Struthio camelus: one gene and its partner. The protein of the gene in region 1 interacts with the protein of each later gene in a biochemical or structural test. Links are inferred from orthologs where the notes say so. Each region holds a gene or a part of one and is shown on either strand. Other genes may lie near its edges.

Evidence for each region.
Region 2: the proteins of NR4A1 (region 1) and BCL2 form a complex in vitro, tested with the Homo sapiens proteins (2 studies listed by BioGRID). The link is inferred for Struthio camelus from reciprocal best matches to the Homo sapiens genes NR4A1 and BCL2.

The regions. Positions count from the first base shown.
Region 1 is NC_090969.1:1,118,421-1,126,108, reverse strand, and holds the start of NR4A1 (nuclear receptor subfamily 4immunitygroup A member 1), read left to right. Parts: upstream 1-4,635; 5' UTR 4,636-4,655; intron 4,656-5,274; exon of another isoform or gene 5,275-5,318; intron 5,319-7,688. UniProt on the Homo sapiens protein: Orphan nuclear receptor. Binds the NGFI-B response element (NBRE) 5'-AAAGGTCA-3'. Binds 9-cis-retinoic acid outside of its ligand-binding (NR LBD) domain.
Region 2 is NC_090943.1:92,680,163-92,687,264, reverse strand, and holds the start of BCL2 (apoptosis regulator Bcl-2), read left to right. Parts: upstream 1-4,082; 5' UTR 4,083-5,302; coding exon 5,303-5,884; intron 5,885-7,102. UniProt on the Homo sapiens protein: Suppresses apoptosis in a variety of cell systems including factor-dependent lymphohematopoietic and neural cells. Regulates cell death by controlling the mitochondrial membrane permeability. Appears to function in a feedback loop system with caspases.

The sequences.
Region 1 (7,688 bases):
GGCGGGGGGGCGAGGGCCGCGCTGTGCTGCAGGGGGGCGGGCGCGCTGCTGTGTGCGTGCGTGTGTGCTCATACAACAGCGAGGGCTCATACACATGTGCATGCATGTGTGTGTGTGCACGCACGCACTGCAGGGCTGTGTGTGCGTGCCACAGGGCTGCATGTGCATGAGCATGCTGCAGGGCTGCGTGTGCATGAGCGTGCTGCAGGGCTGTGTGGGTGCATGTGTGGGTGCACTGCAGGGCTGTGAGTGCATGAGCGTGCTGCAGGGCTGTGTGGGTGCATGTGTGGGTGCACTGCAGGGCTGTGAGTGCATGAGCATGCTGCAGGGCTGCTTGTGCACGTGTGTGCAGCAGGGCTGTGTGTGCATGAGCGTGCTGCAGGGCTGCTTGTGCACGTGTGTGCAGCAGGGCTGCGTGTGCATGAGCATGCTGCAGGGCTGCTTGTGCACGTGTGTGCAGCAGGGCTGTGTGTGCATGAGCGTGCTGCAGGGCTGCTTGCACGAGTGCATCTGTGCACTGCAGGGCCATGTGTGCATGAGCGTGCTGCAGGGCTGCCTGTGCGTGTGCATCTGTGCACTGCAGGGCCATGTGTGCATGAGCGTGCTGCGGGGCTGCCTGTGCGTGTGCATCTGTGCACTGCAGGGCTGTGTGTGCATGAGCGTGCTGCGGGGCTGCCTGTGCGTGTGCATCTGTGCACTGCAGGGCTGCGTGTGCATGCAAGTGCTGCAGGGCTGCGTGCCGCAGGACTGCATGCGCCCGTACATGCAGGGCTGCGTGTGCAGGCACGCGTGCTGCAGGGCCGTGTGTGCAGGCACGCGTGCCGCGGGGCGACGTCCGCAGGCGTGCAGGCTGCGAGCGCGGGCGCGTGCTGCGCGGCTGCGTGCCTGCTGCCGGGGGGTGTGCGCGGGGCCAGGCCAGCTCCGCGCCGCTCTCATGCCTTGTCCCCGTTCCAGCATGACTCCGTGCTTGGACATTTATGGTATGGGTGAGAGCCGCGCTCGCGCAGCCCGGCTCGCCAGCGCCCGCTGCCAGCGCCGGGGCACCCCGTCCGCGCCACCCTGTCATGGGACCTCCCCGCAGCAGGTGCCACCCGCCACCGGGCTATTTTTAGCCACAGGCCGAGCCTGGCGGTGGCACGGGGGGCCCCGGGGCGGCCAGGCACCGCGTGCCGAGACGCGGCCGGGCGCCCGCTGCAACGCCCCGGCCGCGCCAGCCTGTCATTACCGACAAATATAGGCCGGCTCCGGTGCGGGCGGCCTGTAATCACCCGCCGGCCGCCTTTAATTACACCGCAGGTAATTGGGGCCCCGCGGGCTGCCGGGGGTCCCCGTGCGCCCTCGGCGCCCGCCGGCCCTCGCGCGTCGGCCGGATGGGCTCATCCGTCCCGCTCCGCGTCCGGCTCTGCGGGCAACGGGGTGGCCCGGAGTCACCGGCTCCCGTTAATCGGGGCCGCTTGCCGGGGGCCCGGGCAGCGCCAGCCCAGCCGGGGAGGCCGCGGCGGTGACGGCCCGGGGCTGCACCGGCGGAGCCCCCGCTGCCGCCGGCCCGGGGCATCCCCGCGCGCGCCCGCTCCCCGGGATGCCGCCGGGATTCCGGGGACGTCAGCGGCCCGGCGTGACGTCACGGCCTCCCCCCCCCCTCCTCCTCCTCCTCCTCCTCCTCCTCCCCCGGCGGGCGGCGGCGCGCGGATGGGTCAGCGCGGCGGCGGCGGCGGCGGGGCCGGGAGCAGCGAGGTAACGGGCGGCGGGGAGGGGGCGGCGGCACCGCCTGGCCCCGGTCACCGTGCACCCCCCGGTGACCGTGCACCCTCCTGGTCACCGTGCACCCTCTCGGTGGCCGTGCACCCCCCGGTGACCGTGCACCCTCCCGGTGGCCGTGCACCCTCCTGGTCACCGTGCACCCCCCGGTGACCGTGCACCCCCGGTGACCGTGCACCCTCCCGGTGACCGTGCACCCTCCTGGTCACCGTGCACCCTCTCGGTGGCCGTGCACCCCCCCGGTGACCGTGCACCCTCCTGGTCACCGTGCACCCCCCGGTGACCGTGCACCCCCGGTGACCGTGCACCCTCCCGGTGACCGTGCACCCTCCCGGTGGCCGTGCACCCCCCGGTGACCGTGCACCCTCCTGGTGACCGTGGGCTCCCGGTGGCTGTGCATCCTCCCGGTCACTGTGCACCCCCCCGGTGACCGTGCACCCTCCCGCTCACTGTGGGTTCCCAGTAGCTGTGCACCCTCCCGGTGACCGTGCACCCCCCGGTGACCGTGCACCCTCCTGGTCACCATGCACCCTCGATGAGCATGGGGTCCCCGTGGCCGTGCACCCTTCTGGTGACCCTGGGCTCCCCGTGGCCGTGCACCCTCACAGTCACCGTGCACCCTCTGGTGACCGTGCACCCACCGGTGGCTGTGAGCCCCAGGCCCCTCCAGCGCTGCGCTCCTTGCAGGTCAGGGTGTCCTGCTCCCCTCCGTGCCCGCAGCGGGCCCGCGGGGGTGCCACCCCGGTGACACCTCGGTGACACCTCCATGCAGGGCTGCGGTCCTCCCGGTGGGTGTCTCTGTGCCCGCGGGGCCACCGCAGCATTGCCAGCCCCGGCCTGGCCCCTGCCACCGGGCAGGGCGAGGGTGGCACTGCCCCGGTGCAGGGTGCTGCACAAAGCGCTGCTGCTGGGGCCCCGCGTCACCCTGCGCCAGCCCAGCTTGTCGCCCCCCCGGGGGCCGCAGCTCGGGTCCAGTGCCCGTCCCCCCGGCAGGCCCTGGGGGCAGTCGGAGGTGCCCCGGGGGGGCTGCGGAGGGACCAGCCAACGCGCTCGCCGGCCCAGCCTGCCCGGTGCCACCGCCTGCCCCTCCGGCCCCCCGCGGCAGCCGGCCAGGCGGCCGCTCCTGCTCCCCGGCGTTGCCCAGAGGTGGCATTGCAGGGGGGTGGCATTGCCCCGAGGTGGCACTGCTGGGGGCTGGCATTGCCAGGGGGTGGCATTGCCCCGAGGTGGCATTGCTGGGAGGTGGCATTGCCAGGGGTTGACATTGCCCCGAGGTGGCATTGCAGGGGGGTGGCATTGCCCCGAGGTGGCACTGCTGGGGGCTGGCATTGCCAGGGGGTGGCATTGCCCCGAGGTGGCATTGCTGGGAGGTGGCATTGCCAGGGGTTGACATTGCCCCGAGGTGGCATTGCTGGGGGGTGGCATTGCTAGGAGGTGGCATTGCTGGGAGGTGGCATTGCCAGGGGGTGGCATTGCCCAGAGGTGGCATTGCCGGGGGGGGGTGGCACTGCCTGGGGGCGATCGCCCCGTGCAGCCCTGCCCCAGCTGGCCCCGCACCCGGGCAGGCCGTGCCGCAGCCGGCACCCGCGGCTTTCGGCCAGCGAAGCTGCCGGAGCGGGTCGGTGCCGCCCGGGGCCGCGGGGGCCGGGCGGGCGCAGGCTGAGCCGTGCCGGGACCCGGCTCCCGAAGCCGCCCGGGCTCCGCACCGCTGCGTCCCCCTCGCTGAGCACCCCCAGGCCCCCGCCGAGCCCCGTCCCTCCCGGCTCGCCCTTTCGGGGCCCGCCGGCGCGGGATTCACCCACGTCCGAGCTCATCTTTCCAAAGCGCCGGCTGGTTTCCTGGCGGAGGCCGGGGCGCGTCCCGGCGGATGCGCTGCCCCGGGCCCCCTTTCGCCGCTGCCCGTCGCAGGCCTCTCCGCTCGCCTCCGGCCCGGCCGCTTTTCCCCCTCGCCCTCGGAGGGGCCGGGGCGCCCGGGCGCAGGCGGCGAGCGCCTTCCCGGCCCCGCGTCCCGGGAGGCCTGCCAGGAACTCGGCACAAACATGTAATAAAAACGCAGCTCGTTACGCAGTTGCTTTTCTGAACGTGAGCGCTTAAACAACTCCAGAGCCCCGGCTAAAAATATTTTAACAATAGGAAAATGCATAAATCTTTCCAGCCGCTGACTTATCAGCGACGTTTATTTCTGGCCCTGAAATCCCCAGTTCTGTCTGCCGGACTCGCCGGGCCGGGGCCGGGCGGAGGGAGGTGACCGGGGCGGGGAGGACGCGGGGGCCCCCGGGGGGACGTGCCGGGTGTTGGGGGGGCACCGCGGGGAGCCCCGGGGGATCCCTGGGGGGGCACCGGGGCGCCGGCACCGCGGGAACCGGCACGGGGGGGGCAGAGCGCCGGCACCGCGGGAACCGGCCCCAGGAGGGCACGGGCACCGGGGGGGGGGGGCCAGGGCACCGGCACCGTGGGAACTGGCCCCAGGGTGGAGCCCCGGGGCCCCAGCACCGCAGGAACCAGCACCGGGAGGGCACTGGGGGAGCAATGGGGGGGTCTGGCACTGGGAGGGCACTGGGGATAGAGGTACTGGGGAGGACTGGGAGGAGCTGGAGGTAATGGCACTGGGGGGGACTGGGGATAGTGGTACTGGGGAGGACTGGGAGGAGCTGGAGGTAATGGCACTGGGGGGGACTGGGGATAGTGGTACTGGGGAGGACTGGGAGGAGCTGGAGGTAATGGCACTGGGGGGGACTGGGGATAGTGGTACTGGGGAGGACTGGGAGGAGCTGGAGGTAATGGCACTGGGGGGGACTGGGGATAGTGGTACTGGGGAGGACTGGGAGGAGCTGGAGGTAATGGCACTGGGGGGGACTGGGGATAGTGGTACTGGGGAGGACTGGGAGGAGCTGGAGGTAATGGCACTGGGGGGACTGGGAGGAGCTGGAGGTAATGGCACTGGGGATACTGGTACTGGGGGGACGACTGGGGGTACTTGGAAGACACTGGGGATACTGACACTGGGGAGGACTGGGAGTACTGGCCCTGGGGATACCAGCACCAGCAGGGACTGGGGACCCCAGTGCAGGAGGGACCCGGGCATACCAGCACCAGCCAGGGGTGGGGGGCCCTGGGCATACTGGAATCGGGGTGGGGGGGTACTGGGCATACTGGAAGCAGGAGGGCACTGGGAGCGGGGGGGGGGGGGGGGGTGCACGGGGATGCCGATTCCCCGGGAGGCCCCGGGGGGGGGGGGGGGGGGAAGGAGGAAGGGGGGGGGCGCCCGTGCTATTTTTAGCCGGGGGCCGCGGCGCTATTTATAGGCGCCGCCGCGGGGCCTGCGTCAATGGAACCCCGCGTGCGTCACGGGCCGCGGCCCCCCGCGCGCGCCGCCCCGCCCCCGCCGCCGGAACCGCCCCGCCCCGCCGCGCCTTCTATGGGGCGCGCGCGTGCGTCACGGGGCCCCCGCGCGCCGCCCCGCCCCCGCCGCCTGCGTCACCGAGCCCTTAAGAGAAAGTAGTGGCGGGGGCCGGCGAGCCCCGGCGGGCGCGCGGCAGCGGGTACCGGCACCGGGTACGGTACGGAGCATCGCGGGGCGGGGGCGCCGGGCAGGGTGCACCGGGCGGGGGAGGGGGGGGGTGCGAGGTGCACGGTGCACCGGGGGGAGCGGGCGCCGGGCGAGGTGCACCGGGGGGGTGCGAGGTGCACGGTGCACCGGGGGGAGCGGGCGCCGGGCGAGGTGCACCGGGGGGGTGCGAGGTGCCGGGGGGAGCGGGCGCCGGACGATGCGCACCGGGGGGGTGCGAGGTGCCGGGGGGAGCGGGCGCCGGACGATGCGCACCGGGGGGGTGCGAGGTACCGGGGGCAGCGGGCACCGGACGAGGTGCACCGGGGGGGTGCGAGGTGCCGGGGGGAGCGGGCGCCGTGCGAGGCGCACCGGGGGGGTGCAAGGTGCCGGGGGGAGCGGGCACCGGACGAGGTGCACCGGACACCGTGCGAGGTGCCGGGGGGAGCGGGCGCCGTGCGAGATGCAGCGGGGGGGTGCAAGGTGCCGGGGGGGTGCGAGGCACCGGGGGGAGCGGGCACCGGACGATGTGCACCGGGGGGGTGCAAGGCGCTGGGGGGAGCGGGCACCGGACGATGTGCAGCGGGGGGGTGCGAGGTGCAGCGGGGGGAGCGGGCGCCGGGCGAGGGGCGCGGGGTTCCCCGACCCGGAGACGCCGGGGCCGCGGCAGAGCGGGTGGCGTGCGGCGGCACTGCACGGGCGGGGTGTCCCGGGGGGGGGGGCCGGGGCGCTGCACGGGCGGGGTGTCCCGGGGGGGGGGGCCGGGGCGCTGCACGGGTGGGGTGTCCCGGGGGGGGGGCCGGGGCGCTGCACGGGCGGGGTGTCCCGGGGGGGGGGCCGGGGCGCTGCACGGGCGGGGTGTCCCGGGGGGGGGGCCGGGGCGCTGCACGGGCGGGGTGTCCCGGGGGGGGGGGCCGGGGCGCTGCACGGGTGGGGTGTCCCGGGGGGGGGGCCGGGGCGCTGCACGGGCGGGGTGTCCGGGGGGGGGGGCCGGGGCGCTGCACGGGCGGGGTGTCCCGGGGGGGGCGGGGCGCTGCACGGGCGGGGTGTCCCGGGGACACCGGGGGGGGGGCCGGGGCACTGCACGGGCGGGGTGTCCCGGGGGGGGGCCGGGGCGCTGCACGGGTGGGGTGTCCCGGGGGGGGGGCCGGGGCGCTGCACGGGCGGGGTGTCCCGGGGGGGGCGGGGCGCTGCACGGGCGGGGTGTCCCGGGGACACCGGGGGGGGCCGGGGCACTGCATGGGCGGGAGGCACCGGGGGGGGGCCGGGCAGCCGCCGCCGCGGCGCTCAGTGCCGCCCCGGGGCACTGGGGCTGGCAGGAGCCGCCACCGGGGCGGGCGCCTGTCGGGGCCGGGCTGCGGGTACCCCCAGGGCACGGGAACCCCCCCGCCGCCCCCAGCTGCAGCAGCCGGGTTGGTACCAGGCAGCAGGTCGGGCACTGGGGCAGGCGGCACAGCCGGGGTGCACGGGGGACCGGAGGTGACCCCAAAGGTGGCATCACCTCCTGCCTTGGCGGGGTACCCTGCACCCTGACCCCGGGGCTGCGGGGGGACGGCTGCGGTGGGGCACCGCGGGTGCTGCACCGGGGGCATTGCCGCGGGGCTACGGCCACGCCGGGGGCACCCCGGACCTTGCTGCAGGCAATCGCCCAGGACGTGGCGCCGCGGGGGCATCGCCGCCCGGACAAGCCCCCTTGCAGGCGTTTTTGGCCCTGCCACGCAGCAGGTGCAGCAGCGGCCGGGCGCCGGCAGCATCCCCCCGCACCGCCGGGCCCGGTGCCAGGGGTGCCCGCCAGCGCAGGCGTCCTCCTCCCGCACGCAGCCCTTCATGCAGCGCCTGCAAGTAACGTAGCTGGCTGGTGCATCCCCGGCGTGGGATTTTAGCGCGGGGGGCAGGGGGTGTAATTCCGCATGGTGCTGCGGGCACGGGAGCGAGCCGGGAAGCACCAACGCGTTGGACTAAGCAAACGGGAACGGTGCCCGGCGGGCGCTCGGCGAACGCCGCCCCGGGGCGAACTGACCGCCGGCGGTGATTTACAGCCGGAGCATTTGCAGAGCTGCCGGTGAGGCCGAGCGTGCCGTGGGCGGCCGCAGGTGGCTGATCCCTTGCCCGGGGGCTCGGGGCCAGGGCTGCCGCTGGGCACGTCCAGAGCTCGCGCCCTCCGAGCTCCTGGCCCGTCTCGGTGGCGGAGAGACCCCAGGCGCCTTGCAGACCCCGGCGCGGTGGGTCCCGGCTGGCCGAAGCCTCTTTGGGGACCGCGGGAGAGGTGGGACGCGGGCGGCCCGGCCGGGGCAGCCCCGCTCCCGGGGGCTGCGGGCACCCGCGCGGGTATTTTTAAACGCCGTCGGCGAGGCGGGTGTCAGCTTTCCGGAGGCAGGAGCGA
Region 2 (7,102 bases), on another chromosome or scaffold:
AGCACTTTAAACAATTACTTGCTTCTATCCAGCCTGCCTACCCATGAGCCAGGGAAAGAAAGGGTGGGCAGGTCACCAGGAACCAGGATTGTTGTTGAAATTCTGTCGGTGTTAGTACAAAGACACAAGGAAAAGGTGTCAACTTTCAGATTGTAATTAAGTTCACTGTTGCCAGGCATTAAGAACTTTTCTAGAACGTTTGTTAATAATGCATCGTGCATCTGGGAAGCTACCAAAGAAACAGCAGGCATTGTAGAATCCCTGCATGTTCTTCCAGTTGCCCACGTACAGATCAAAAAGCTATCTCACTCAATCTATGTCCTTTCCACTGCCAGACCTGGCTAGTATCTGTTGTCAATGCTCCTTCCTCTGTAACTGTCATGTAAGCTTTCTTTTGTTATGGGAGCTTCTCTTGTATTCCTAATTTTGTTCCAATCCTTTATACAGCTAGTTCTTATTTTACTAGTCTAAATACCTTTAGTGGGACAACTCACATAAAGAGAAATGTGTGCAGAAGGATTTTCAGGATCAGACCTTTACTAGTAGACTTATTGCACTGCTACCTAAAAGCACTGCAGCAATTTCTTAACTGGCTTTATGCATTCTGCCCATGTTGCCTGATAAGTCCTGAGCCTCTCTTGCTGGTTTGTTTTATATTCCCCCCAAAAGCATATTGCCTTTGTTTTGGACATCGTTTTAACTTCCATTTTATCCTGTTGAGCTCAAACAAACAAACAAGATAGAAAACAGTACTGTGATGCAAACTTGTGAAACTCTAATACATGCTTATCACCCACTCAGGTAGCATCATAATTAGTTTTTAAAAAGCCGCTCCCTTAAATTACAGTCATAAATGCAGGTCAGATGCAATGCATCTGACATTCAGTTAGGACCAAAAAGATTGTATAAATGCACATAATTTTGTTTTGGTCATTCTTCAAGGCATAGCTTTTGTTTCCTATGGCTCATCCTTAATACCCTTGCTCAAAGCAAACGGTTGCTAGGATTTTCTTTTGTATTTTTCATCTTTCTTTTGGTACACTCAGCTGTTTGGTATTAACATGCTTTCCTGTGAAGCATGAACACTATTTTCCCATTAAACTTTTAAAACATGTATCGGCTGGGATCTAGCAATGCTATATTATACAGCAAAGTTCTGAATATAGAGCCAGTGGGGGAAAAAAAGCATCATTAATAAATCCATTCCAAACAGAACATCTCATAAAGTTTTGCTGTATCTATTGCTGTCAGAAATCAGTTAGGCACTCTAAAATTATTTTAGTGTACTGCTTATATGCCCTCACAACACTCTGTTCACTTAGATGGGGTTACTTCCATTTACTCACACGAGATAGATTGAAAAACCCCAAGCACATTCAAAGGTGTTTTAAATTTCCCTTTACAAAAGCACATCAATTTTACATGCATCTTTGTCTTCTGCATCAGTCCCACAGTGATTTGTCCTCTGGGCTATAAAACCGATCCTGCTATGACACTGCTGTGCAGCTTACCCCAACAGCTTGTTCTGTTACTTAACATCTGTGAGCACGGTATTTGCCTGCCGTGTTTTCAGTTGCAGGAGCAACTGCATTAGATTCAGTCACGAGTACAGTGAGAGATTTAATCAGCAGCCCAGTTGGTTATGGCTATTCTGATTTTCTGTATCACTTGTTCCTGTAAAACCTCAGGGTGTTACATGGAAACGTCTGGCCACTTTCCATTTGCAGAGCAGTATTTTCTCTTTTGGTGCAAGGAGGTAAAGCTGGTAACTTTTCTTGGTTGACTGGTCTCCTCGGGCTGCGCTAATGAAGCTGCATGTCTGCCATCAGACGCGATACTTCAGTTCATCACCAAAGCCTTACTCTCTGGAGGGTTTTATACAGACAGAGATCAGGTGCGTTTGCACTCCAGCGTTTGACTGGGCTGGGAGTTACACGCAGCACATGCGGACATACGTGGGTAGGGTATCACTGTAAATCGATGGCTGTGTAGAAGACCATCCATCTTCTTTTGACTTCATTTCCCCTGCTGTCCCGCGACCTCTGTTCCTCTTAATCCATTAAAACAAAACCCACCGCAGTCGGCCTCGTTTATACATCAGCAGGCACGAGTGAAAAGGAGATGGAAGCGGGACCCTGCCATATATTCCTAATTTTCCCAGCAGGTTTCCCGTGTGTGGGTGAGTCCTTAGGAAGGCCGGCAGGCAGGGTGGGAGGGAGGAAGGCAGGCTGGGAGGGAGGAAGAGAGGGAGGGAGGCAGGGAGGAAGTCAGGGAAGGAGGGAGGGCAGGCAGGGAGCCAGGCCCCGCCGGGAGCGCGCAGCGGCCGCTGGGGGGCGACCCCGCGCCGCCGGGCCGAGCCGAGCCGGGCCGAGCCGGGCCGGGCCGGGCCGAGCCGAGCCGGGCCGGGCCGGGCCGGGCCGGGCGGAGGTCGGTGCCGCCTCGCCGCGGCGGCGGCGCCTTGTGCCGGGCAGCTGCCAAGTGCCCCCGCCGGCACCGCGGCACGCGGAGGTGCATTTCGGAGGGGGGGGGGAAGGAAATAAAAGAAAAAACCCCCTCAGTGCAGTCTAAAATCCCCCACACGCCCCGGGGCACAGCTGAGCTCTGCACGGGTCTCGCCGCCTGTGCGGTGCCGGCAGCGCCCGGGCGTCCCGGCGGGGCAGCGCTCAGCCGGCGCAGCAAACACGGTTTGGGCACGACGGGTGAGCGTGTGCAGCAAGCGTGGGCTGACCCTGAGCGTGGAGATTCAGAAGGGAGCGCGCGTTGCCTGCATCCCTTGGACAAAATAATCTCCCATTCCCAGCTTCATTCCTGCGCTGCTTTTCTTCTAGGTACAGTGTAGTTTACTTACCAGGTTATCATCTCAAAGTCACCCTCATTCAGATGTTAAGGACACAGACTAGCAGAATTTAACGAACTTCTCCGACTTCTTTTGCTAACGTTCAGCACAGCAAAGTACTGAGTATCTCCTGTTGCCGTTTGACTTGGGTTTAGTCTGGGATTTCTCCCAGTGCCAGCCAGTGCGGCCGCAGCATCAGCATCCCCTGCCCTGCTGCAGGCGGCCGGGGCAGCGCGGGCGGCGGGCGCGCTCTCCCCGCGCTGCGGCTTCACCCGCTCCGAAGCCGGACACCGCTTCTTTGGGCAAACTCCGGCTTCATCCGAGCTCCCAGCCTCTCCTTTCCCTCCTCCTCCTCCAGCTAAAAACCTGAGCCGAGGGACACGCTAGAGCCCTTCCCCTGCCGCCCGTCTCCCGAATTTGACCTCCCAGGCGGCCCGCGGCTGCGCTGCCCGCGGCTGTGCCCGGGGCGCGCCGGCAGGCAGGTGCGCGGGTCCCGCGCTCCGCGCTGCCGCCGCCCAGGAGGGGGCTGCGCGGAGGCGGCCCCGGCCTCGCTCCGCGAGCCGCGCCGAAGCCCCCGGGCCATTTTTTATTTTTTTCCTAAAGATCTTTTTTTTTTTTCCTATTCCCTCCCCCTCCCCTTATTTATTTATTTATTTATTATTTTTAAATAAATCCATGCAGCTGCAGCAGCCTCCCCGGCCCCGGGAGCCACCCGCGGCGCTGCCTCCCTCCCTCCCTCCCTCCCTCCCTCCCTCCGCGAGGGACGCGGCGGCAGCGCTGTCAGCGCCCCCCGCGGCCCGACCGCCGCCGCCGCCGCCAGCCGGGCAGGGCCCCTCCGCCCCCCTTTCCGTGCCTATTTTCAACCCCCCCCCCCCGCCACCCCAATTCCCCCCCTTTTCGTGAATGAAGCGCGAGGCGGGGCTCTGGGCAGGCGTCGCGTCGCGCCGGCCGGGGCCTCCCCCGGGCTCCGCCCCGCCGCCCCCGCCCCGCCCCGGCCCCGGCCCGGCCCCGGCCCCGGCCCGGCCCCGGCCCGCTCCCCCCGCGCCGCCGCCGCTGCCGCCGCCGCCGCCGCCGGCAGAGCTCCCCGCCCGCGCCCGCCGCCGCCGCCGCCGCCGCTCGGAGCCGCCCGGAGCCGCCGGCAGCACCGCGGAGCGCCCGGAGGAGCCGCCCGGAGCCGGCGGGGCTGCGCGGTGCGGCGCGGTGCGGCGCGGAGCGGAGCGGGCGGGCAGCGGCGCCGCGGCCGCGGTAACCCCCTCGGCACCGGTCAGCGCGCACACGCGCCCCCGTCCGCGCCCCGCCTCGGCAGCGCCAGGGGCTCTTCCTCCTTTGATACAAAAGCTGCTCGGGAAATGGCATTTCTCCCCGGAGCCGCACTCAAACGCAATTTTCTTTTTTCTTTTTGGTTTTGTCCTTTTTCTTGCGCTCTTTTTTGCAAAAAAATATTAATTGCCTAATTTTTTCTTTTTTTTCTTCCTTTTTTTTTTTTTTTTGTCGTGTGCGTGTGTGTGTGTGGAAGCGCTGGGCTCCTGCGATCAGTGTCTGAATGAAACTACGTAAATGCATATGTCTGTACGTTGCACTGGAGGGAAAAACGGAGCACTTCTGCGAGAGCTTGGATTCAAATGTGTGTTTCATCTGGTCTTCAAGATTTGTGGTCTCTTTGGGGTTGTTCGCCTTCCTGGGCTCCGAGGCGGGATTTTCTGAGCTTTGACATATCTTTGGAGATGCCTGTTAAACAGGAGTCTGGGAAAAAACATTTGAAATTATAGTGATTTTTTTTTGTCCCTTTCCCGTGACTTGAAGCATCAGAGCGGCCAGAACCTAACGTTTCTGAAGACTTGTGATGTTTGGGTTTTGTTGTTGCTATTTTTTTTTTTAGAGGAAACTTGACAGAGGAACATATTTATAGTCCAAGTAAGTACTTTACAGAGGAAATTTACTTTGTGTAACTTAAAAAAGCAGTGTTGAGATTTCTAGCTTAAAGTGCATTGGATTAACGTTCATCCAAGGCCGTTTAGCAAATCATATTGAATTGCAGTTTTTACGGTGTATGTTCGTCCGCTCCTTCATGTACGTGGTAGTTCAGCACCTAGGGGAAAATGCACCTGATTTTGCCTAAGTATGATATTTTTTAACGTGTATTTCAACACCAAGGAGGAAATGTTTCTAAAGTAAATATATAGTAAGTAATAAATGTGCATCTGGAAGTAAAATATTTACAGCGTTTTAATCCCTATTTATACCGTGCATCTCAAACCGCGGAGGAAACACTGAGAAGACGAAAGTACCTCCAAGACCCTGAGAACTCCCCTGCATCACCATGAATGAAACCGTGCCCGATACAATAACTGGATTATAAATTTTCGTGTTATTAATTTTATTATCATTGGCTGCTTTACTTTTTTGGGTTCATCCTGCTCCTCTTCTTCCTCTCTCCCTTCCTCTTGCTGCTGCCTCGTGGAAATTATGGCTCATCCGGGGAGAAGAGGCTACGATAACCGGGAGATAGTGCTGAAGTACATCCATTACAAACTCTCGCAGAGGGGATACGACTGGGTGGCCAGTGGCGACCGGGCGCCAGCGTCTCCAGGGCTCTCTCCTCCTGCTGCTGCTGCTCTTGCTGCTGCTGGGACTTCCTCTGATCACACTGGGCTGGTGTCTCCGCACCCCGAGCCCCCCGGCTCGGCTGCTGCTAGTAATGCGGCTCCGGGCGACGGGCTGCGCCCCGCGCCGCCGGTGGTCCACCTCGTCCTGCGCCAAGCCGGCGACGAGTTCTCCCGCCGCTACCAGAGGGACTTTGCCCAAATGTCCGGCCAGCTGCACCTGACGCCCTTCACGGCCAGGGGCCGCTTCGTGGCGGTGGTGGAGGAGCTCTTCCGAGACGGGGTCAACTGGGGGAGGATCGTGGCCTTCTTCGAGTTCGGCGGCGTCATGTGCGTGGAGAGCGTCAACCGGGAGATGTCCCCCCTGGTGGACAGCATTGCCACCTGGATGACCGAGTACCTGAACCGGCACCTGCATAATTGGATCCAGGACAACGGAGGCTGGGTACGTGCCCCGCGATTTCCTTCCCTCGCGGAGGGCTGGGCCCCGGGGTGGCGCGCGTTGGGGGTGCCCACGCAGAGGAGCAGGGAGGCGCTCGAGTCGGGGGGAGCAAAAGGCTGGTGCGTAGGCCCGTCGCCAGCTCCTCTGTCGCTGAGCGTCACCTCGCTGTGGGGTTATGGCGAAGTTGGTTTTGGGGTGAGAGCAGCCACAGCTCCCTCCTGCATTGCTGCGAGGATGAGCGAGCCGCCCCCTCCGGCCGAGTCCTCCGCTCTCCTTCCCCCTTTGGGTGCCCCCGGTGGGGGCTGCCGCAGCCGTGGCTCTCGCCACGCGCCAGGCAATATTTCGGGCTCGGGCAGGGGTCCAGAGCAGCCTGGGATGAGTGGCAGCCTCGCCTGCCCAGAGGTAATGCCATGGGCAGGCGCACGGAGGCGACGGGACGACGGCCGCGTGCCTGCGTCCCAGCGGGCTGGGGGGACGCGCTTAACGTGCGAGGGGACACGGTGCTAAAGGCAGTCGAAGGAAACAACGGCCGGATGATCCTCAGTGCCGGTGTTCATAGCTGCGGTGGCAATCGGAGCGGGATTTTGCAGCGTGTATCTGGTGTGAAAGTCCTGTCTTTGTCTCGCCGCCAAACAAAGGTGCCAGGGGATGGGTAGGGGACTCGTCTGGGGCATTGTTCTGGAGAAATTACTATTTGCAGTGATCTGGCACGTTTCAAAGTGAAATGATCTTGTATTTCCAGAGTAGAAATCACTTCTGGCTGGGGTTAGTTTTAGCATTATCCAGAAAGGGAGGATTTCCACTTGCGGAAAATGGACAGCTTTTATACTTTTGGTCAATCGGAGTCTTTTTCTGTCTCTGTCTCTGTCTCTCCAAAATAAATAACCACGTTTGATTGGAAGGGGTTTTCTTTCTGTTTTCCTGTGTTAATTGATCTATTGTAACAAAATGTGATCCCTCAAACCGAATGTGTTGCATGCATAAGGCTTGTCATATTACTGTATTAGAAGGAAGAAACAGCAAAAGTTATCCTGAAGAAGAAACTTTATGTATGGGCTGAGACCTACACTAAGTCACTTAAAATGGAGATATGGTAGGTCAGAGATTGGTAACTTCAGGTTCTGACTGCTATGAAATACAATCAGTGAGCTAAATCAGTTAAAGAGCACACCTTTAAGGGGTGCATGTAAAGGAATGTAAAATACCGTACACGGTTCCCAG